Linked DNA regions of Arabidopsis thaliana. The protein of the gene in region 1 interacts with the protein of each later gene in a biochemical or structural test. Each region holds a gene or a part of one and is shown in the gene's direction. Other genes may lie near its edges.

Region 1 (3,753 bases):
AAAGGTCACTGCACTTTTCCTCAGATAGTTTCTCACAGCCATGGAAAGTGGAGAATCCGCATAAACGTACAATTACAAGCTTTATATGGTCCCTCGACTCTTATTCTCTTCTCAGTCTTTGCAACTAAATAGGGTTTTCGTTAATCTGAAAGAAGCAAAGTATTCGAAACCACGGAAACCTGATAAAGAATGAAAACAAATAAGCAATAGTGTTTTCTTGAAAATCTCGATGCAACTTTGAGGATATTGTTACATATGATCTATTACTCGTAACAGTTATCCGAAGGCCTACACATGTGAGAGAAGTTCCAAACCGCTACAACAATAAACTTAATTAGAGACTGTCAACGAGCAATAATAAGCAAAACTACTTTTTTCTTGAGCTACAAGTGAAAAGGCCAATACACAATTTACTCTTCATGAACTCGAACCACGTTACAATCTCCAAAAAATTTCATCACCAAAGCACTAAAAGCCAAAGATGCCTCAACTTATCCAACTTGGCAGGATAAAGATCTCCAAAAATGCTTACTAAAGAACCTAGAATCTTTTCTTTAGAATTCAATGATCATATAACCATTTCATAACAATTCTAAATGCCATTACATTCATCGTAAAACCAGTAAATAACAAGAACTTGTATGTTAAGTTCCAATTACCAAGCAAAAAAAAACTTTTCAAAGTTTAAAGTTCAAAATGGGAAAGAGAAGTGCGGTGTAAGCAAATATGAAAGAGGAAGAGATGCGAAAAGTGTATCCTAGGACCAGCATTTTATACAAAAAAAAAACACTCACTTTTCAGCTCTTAAGGCATAGAGTGAAGGTAGCCATATGAATTTGGCCACTAGAGCGTCCGTCAAATCTCATTCTTTTTGGACCACATAATGGGTATCATACATTCACTGGACCCAAAAGCGTAACTGGAGCTAGTCCTCAAACCTAGAGAGTATCGTATCCTGTAGCTTCCACATAGTAAACATTATGAGCATAACACCAACAAGGCAACTCCAAGTACTAATGGTTATTAGTACAGGAAAACCCACGATGCTAAACACATGAATGGGTCACCAAATAGAGTGAAGATGGTTAAATTGCATCTATGGATCATGTGGACTAGTAAATGAGTGTAGCAGAAAACTTCACAATTACCTCTGTGATCTTAGAAACATGTCCTGAAAATTCCATACAAGTGTCGTTTGTATTAGATTACTTCCACAGGTTGAGATCTAATAAAGCTACAATAAATAGTATAGAGTATCATCATAAACCCAAATTACAGAGATGTGACAACACTCATGAGTCATGTTTTGTAACTACTTACTATAATGGTTACCAAGTGCAAATTTCTACATACTATATATGATAAATCTAATTATTGCTCATGTGGACTCCAAAATGCCTTTTAAGTTTTAACTTGTGCGTCAGGTAAATTCTAATTTGTAGTCTCAAGACTACTTGGCGGATTCGAGTTTGATCCTAGAAAATCCACCGTCTCTATGTTTTTCATGTCACTTTTCCGATATGATTCTCATTACCATGACTTTATGAACCAGATTAAACATTATAACACTTTTCATCAGAAAATCCTTCGAAAGTTTCAATTGCAAATCTTTCTAAATGATGCAGATGCATTCACAAATAATGGAACAACAACTATACCATATTCACGAGTTTGTCTAACCTTTGTATAGGTAGTCAACCCATAACAGTTGGTGATGGCTCTGACACTCGAAGCCTTACTCGGAGAGATACCTGAACAGTAATCACAAGGTTCAGGATGAATATTCAACCACTTAAACTTTGTATAAAGCCAAAGAGATAAAACGAATCTAGCTTTACTTTAAATAAAATGCATATGAAAATAGTAAAAGGTGATACGAAAAAATAGTAACAATTTGCCTGCAACACCATGGCATTATCCGGACCACTTCCTCTTGAGAATCTCAGTATGGCAAGTGGCAAAACCTAAGCAACTTGTGAACGGGTCCCAACGAAGAAGTGCATAGGAGGAGATGTTTACACTTTACACTTTACACTTTACACTTTACACATAGGCCTTCCCAAAAGCTCAACTAGCTGCAAGAGGATCCAATAACATGTAAGAGCCACTAACGCTGTGCCACGTGTAGGCACTCAGGATTCGATCTCCCCTCTACTTATTCTCTCACACCAGATATAAGCTTTATTAGCCCCTTCTTTCAGATACCAGCTCCCACACCATCAAACTTACTACATCTGAGTTATTATGTTGAAACAAGAGAGTAACGACATAGGTAGTGGAGAGAACAACAGGGCACGACCCTGTGACACATGCCGGTCAAACGCCTGCACCGTGTATTGCCATGCAGATTCTGCCTACTTGTGCATGAGCTGTGATGCTCAAGTTCACTCTGCCAATCGCGTTGCTTCCCGCCATAAACGTGTCCGGGTCTGCGAGTCATGTGAGCGTGCTCCGGCTGCTTTTTTGTGTGAGGCAGATGATGCCTCTCTATGCACAGCCTGTGATTCAGAGGTTCATTCTGCAAACCCACTTGCTAGACGCCATCAGCGAGTTCCAATTCTACCAATTTCTGGAAACTCTTTCAGCTCCATGACCACTACTCACCACCAAAGCGAGAAAACAATGACCGATCCAGAGAAGAGACTGGTGGTGGATCAAGAGGAAGGTGAAGAAGGTGATAAGGATGCCAAGGAGGTTGCTTCGTGGCTGTTCCCTAATTCAGACAAAAATAACAATAACCAAAACAATGGGTTATTGTTTAGTGATGAGTATCTAAACCTTGTGGATTACAACTCGAGTATGGACTACAAATTCACAGGTGAATACAGTCAACACCAACAAAACTGCAGCGTACCACAGACGAGCTACGGGGGAGATAGAGTTGTTCCGCTTAAACTTGAAGAATCAAGGGGCCACCAGTGCCATAACCAACAGAATTTTCAGTTCAATATCAAATATGGCTCCTCAGGGACTCACTACAACGACAATGGTTCCATTAACCATAACGTAAGGCTTTTGTATATTTGTTACCCCTTCAATTTAGCATCTTCCCATAACGCAGCAGGGTGAATTCTTTCATCATACACACAAATCCACTGATCCACTGCCAACAGTTGATCTATAGCACATAGAAATTTCACCAGAAGTCTATAATAAAAACAATATATGCTTCCTTTTGCATCGACTCTCTTTAGTCCTCTTACCAGGGGGATTGAGAATGTCTTTGTTTCTGTCATTAGGCATACATTTCATCCATGGAAACTGGTGTTGTGCCGGAGTCAACAGCATGTGTCACAACAGCTTCACACCCAAGAACGCCCAAAGGGACAGTAGAGCAACAACCTGACCCTGCAAGCCAGATGATAACAGTAACACAACTCAGTCCAATGGACAGAGAAGCCAGGGTCCTGAGATACAGAGAGAAGAGGAAGACAAGGAAATTTGAGAAGACAATAAGGTATGCTTCGAGGAAGGCATATGCAGAGATAAGACCGCGGGTCAATGGCCGGTTCGCAAAGAGAGAAATCGAAGCCGAGGAGCAAGGGTTCAACACGATGCTAATGTACAACACAGGATATGGGATTGTTCCTTCATTCTGATACTCCTGTGGCAAAAAGAAAAACTAGATTGCAAGCTGTAAATTACTTTTAGTTTGAGATTATGTTAGGTTTGGTGAAATTCTTAGCTTCAAGAAGTATTACTACTGTTGTGCAAATGGGTTTGTAGTTTTGGCTAATTAAAACTATAGTATTC
Region 2 (3,753 bases), on another chromosome or scaffold:
GTGGTTCAGCTTGCAGCGGTTCTCAATGGTGATCACTTCCTCAGTAGCTTCCCGGAAGAAATTGGAAAGAAGATGACTGTGAAACAAGCTCATGAGTATGTCAAAGGAGCTACTTCTCGGTTCATTAGAGCTAGTAAAGAGGCAATGAAGCTTGGTGCCGATAAATCTGCTATTGTCGATATGCGATCTTCGCTCACTACACGGCCACACAACTGATTAAAAATCTTGTTTGCATTCGTCTTCCTATGTTTTGATCTGAAAATGTGTGATTTTATGTATGGAAACTAGAATTGAGGAACAAAGAAATAGACAAAATTCATTGTTAATGTTAGTGATATGTTGAGCAATCGAAAGATCTTCATAAACTCCCAATATAACTGAAGCCCAATTAGGCCCATATATAAATATTCAACAAGGCCCAAAATGAGTTGCATCAATTTCTTTAGTTGGAGACTTTTCTTCAATTGTTTATTGTTAGGGGCAGTGGAGTGAAGGAGAAACAACAATGTCGCCAATTTCTAAGATTCTAGGAGGATGCAGGACACTGATGGCGAAGGCGGTGACTAATGCGACGGCTACCGGCGCCGGCGTTGATAGAAGAGGAGGAATTCATAAGATTTTTCCAGTCTCAGAGTCGCTGGCTAGATTCGTCGGCCAAAGCGAAGTCTCTTTTTCCACCGCCATGGAGAAAGTGGAGCAGTATACCGATGATCACAATCTTTGGGTTAGGGATTTCGAAACTCTTCTCCAGTTTCCTTTCATTCTACTTTTTTTTTTGGTGATTTCTAGGTCTTTTGATCTGATTCTTTCTGTTGGAGCAATGTATCTGATTTATAGGTCTTTGATTTGTAGAATCCGGAGAATATAGAGGAGATACTGTGCGATGATAACTTGAAGACGATTTTCGATGGCCAAGACAAAGTCGTCGGAGTCAGAGAGATGACGGAGCTTTTGTTGCGACATTTTCCTAACGTTAGAACTATGTCGGCGAAGGTGAAGGCTACCGGTGGAGGTACTATAGAAAAATGGGGGTTCAATGATATTGTGAAAGTCTCAGAGCCGCTGGCTAGATTCGTCGGCCAAAGCGAAATCTCTTTTGACGCCGCCTTGAGAAAATTGCTAGATTATGCCTTTGATCACAAGCTCGTAGATGAGGGTGTTACTCTGCTCGAGTTTCCTTGGGTTAGCTTTTTTACTTTCCTTATGATCTCCTCTTTACATGTTTATGCATTTAGGGATTGGAGTCTCTAGAGACTGGAGAATGGTAGTGATTTGATTCTTGTGTTGGTCATTATTGGAGTAATTGACATCTACGCTGAAAATGTTGTTTACTCACTTGAATGTTTTGGTTTTGTTTGTGGAAATGGTCTTTTCTGATTGCATATTTTGAAAACTTAGCTTGTCAATTCATACACTGTCAGATGAAGAATTCACCAGTTACGAATATAGAGTGTCTTTAGGTGGCTTTGGACCTTGTGCTTGCTTCTCTGTTTGGTGGTCATAGATTGCATTTTCATGTTTAGAGATTATGATTTGTTTAGAGCTCACTTGTTTCATTTGTAGATTACGAAGTGTAGTAAATGGCGGATACGATGCGATGATACCTTGAAGACGATACTCGATGGCAAAGACAAAGTCGGAAATAAAGAGCTCTCTTCACTCTTGATGCAACATTTTCCTGACAGCTCTCTTCACTCTTGATGTTTTCTTTTGGTTCATTTCGGATGCATATGAACTTTGGTACGTGTAAAAAAAAAACAAAATTTAACTTGAAATAGAAAATAGAAAAAAATTAATTTAGGAAATAGAAAAAAAAGAGAGAAAATCATCAGCTACATCGCTGTCCACCTTATCCACTTGTACCCCAATCCCTTTGGCAAAAACTTGTCACGACCTTTTTGATCCAAAAATCAAAATCCAAAACCGACCAATGGATACCAACAACCAGCAACCACCTCCCTCCGCCGCCGGAATCCCTCCTCCACCACCTGGAACCACCATCTCCGCCGCAGGAGGAGGAGCTTCTTACCACCACCTTCTCCAACAACAACAACAACAGCTCCAACTATTCTGGACCTACCAACGCCAAGAGATCGAACAAGTTAACGATTTCAAAAACCATCAGCTTCCACTAGCTAGGATAAAAAAGATCATGAAAGCCGATGAAGATGTTCGTATGATCTCCGCAGAAGCACCGATTCTCTTCGCGAAAGCTTGTGAGCTTTTCATTCTCGAGCTCACGATCAGATCTTGGCTTCACGCTGAGGAGAATAAACGTCGTACGCTTCAGAAAAACGATATCGCTGCTGCGATTACTAGGACTGATATCTTCGATTTCCTTGTTGATATTGTTCCTAGAGATGAGATTAAGGACGAAGCCGCAGTCCTCGGTGGTGGAATGGTGGTGGCTCCTACCGCGAGCGGCGTGCCTTACTATTATCCGCCGATGGGACAACCAGCTGGTCCTGGAGGGATGATGATTGGGAGACCAGCTATGGATCCGAATGGTGTTTATGTCCAGCCTCCGTCTCAGGCGTGGCAGAGTGTTTGGCAGACTTCGACGGGGACGGGAGATGATGTCTCTTATGGTAGTGGTGGAAGTTCCGGTCAAGGGAATCTCGACGGCCAAGGGTAAAGTTTCATTTTCTGTGCAATGTGATATACATTGATTGATTACATGATCGTCTAGGGTTTTAGGAGATGGAATGATAAACAATCTCTAAGTCTGGTTTGTTTGGGATATAATCATGTTAGTCCAAGATTTCTCTGTTTATTAAGGTTTTAGGATTTGGAATGATAAACAATCTCTAATCCTGTAATCATCAAGATTTGAAAATTGTTTTCATATCGCAATTTGCAAACATTGCTATATCAAACAACTAGATTCTCTTGCTCTTCTGCTGAATCTGAATGAATCAATGAACTATGGCTCCTTAAACTTACCTTTCAATGTTTTGGTATCATTTTTGCAGTTAAGCTCAGAGTATTCCAGATGATGCTTGACCTGCTTGAAGATAGCAGATATTAGTCGACCTCGCCTTGAATTTTGGATGTGTTTGATAGATTATGCCTAAATTCAATGAAAAGGCTTCGTTAAAGAAGAGTAAAAAAAACTCTTGTTTCTCTCTGTTAACGTATATGTTATTGTAGCAAAACCATCATTGCTGCGACTTAGCCTAACTATATATAATCTAATGTGCAGTTTCTATTGTATGCTTCTTTCCGATTTTTTCTCATATTTGACTTATCTTGATGTCTGAGAAAATGCAGTCTTGTAACCTGTAAGGTTCTTTTCAGAGGTTTCAGTGCTTGTAAACCTCAAGCAAACCCGATCTGAACCAACTTGGTTCTGTGTAAATAGGTATCTGTATATGAACTCGTGACATAGTAATGTATCTAGCATTGATGACAATAATGTTGTTATTTGATAGAAAAGGCTTATCATAAAGCATCTTACAGTAACATAAGTTATTTTTTCAAGATAATTGTTTTGTAGGCTTAACCCTGTGACAGGTATTGATCTTTCTCTAAGTGTAACTTCCACATTCTTGAGGCACCTTTGGATATCGCTGTCTGTCAGAACAATAGTCATAATCCAGGTACGTCTTCCTTGCGTTTAGGTACAGTGTCTTCTCTTTAGAGCTTAGCTGTTTGCGATTCCACCAGAACTTAGGATCAGTGCATTTATCTATTCCCATGAACTCAGTCTTACACCCTTCAATCTTTGATGCCTGGAACTTAGCAATGTAAGGC

Evidence for each region.
Region 2: the proteins of CO (region 1) and NF-YC1 form a complex in vitro, tested with the Arabidopsis thaliana proteins (one study listed by BioGRID).

What each region holds. Positions count from the first base shown.
Region 1 is NC_003076.8:5,171,189-5,174,941, reverse strand, and holds the start of CO (B-box type zinc finger protein with CCT domain-containing protein), read left to right. Parts: upstream 1-1,856; 5' UTR 1,857-2,244; coding exon 2,245-3,006; coding exon of another isoform or gene 3,007-3,147; exon of another isoform or gene 3,148-3,239; coding exon 3,240-3,599; coding exon of another isoform or gene 3,600-3,604; 3' UTR 3,605-3,753. Other genes in the region: AT5G15843 (uncharacterized protein), read right to left, coding at 2,560-2,713, 3,031-3,147, 3,246-3,604. UniProt on the Arabidopsis thaliana protein: Transcription factor that acts in the long day flowering pathway and may mediate between the circadian clock and the control of flowering.
Region 2 is NC_003074.8:18,008,116-18,011,868, reverse strand, and holds NF-YC1 (nuclear factor Y, subunit C1), read left to right. Parts: upstream 1-1,850; 5' UTR 1,851-1,930; coding exon 1,931-2,631; intron 2,632-2,972; coding exon 2,973-2,976; 3' UTR 2,977-3,276; downstream 3,277-3,753. Other genes in the region: NPC6 (non-specific phospholipase C6), read left to right, coding at 1-216; AT3G48600 (SWIB complex BAF60b domain-containing protein), read left to right, coding at 506-724, 853-1,182, 1,564-1,701; XTH11 (xyloglucan endotransglucosylase/hydrolase 11), read right to left, coding at 3,528-3,753. UniProt on the Arabidopsis thaliana protein: Stimulates the transcription of various genes by recognizing and binding to a CCAAT motif in promoters.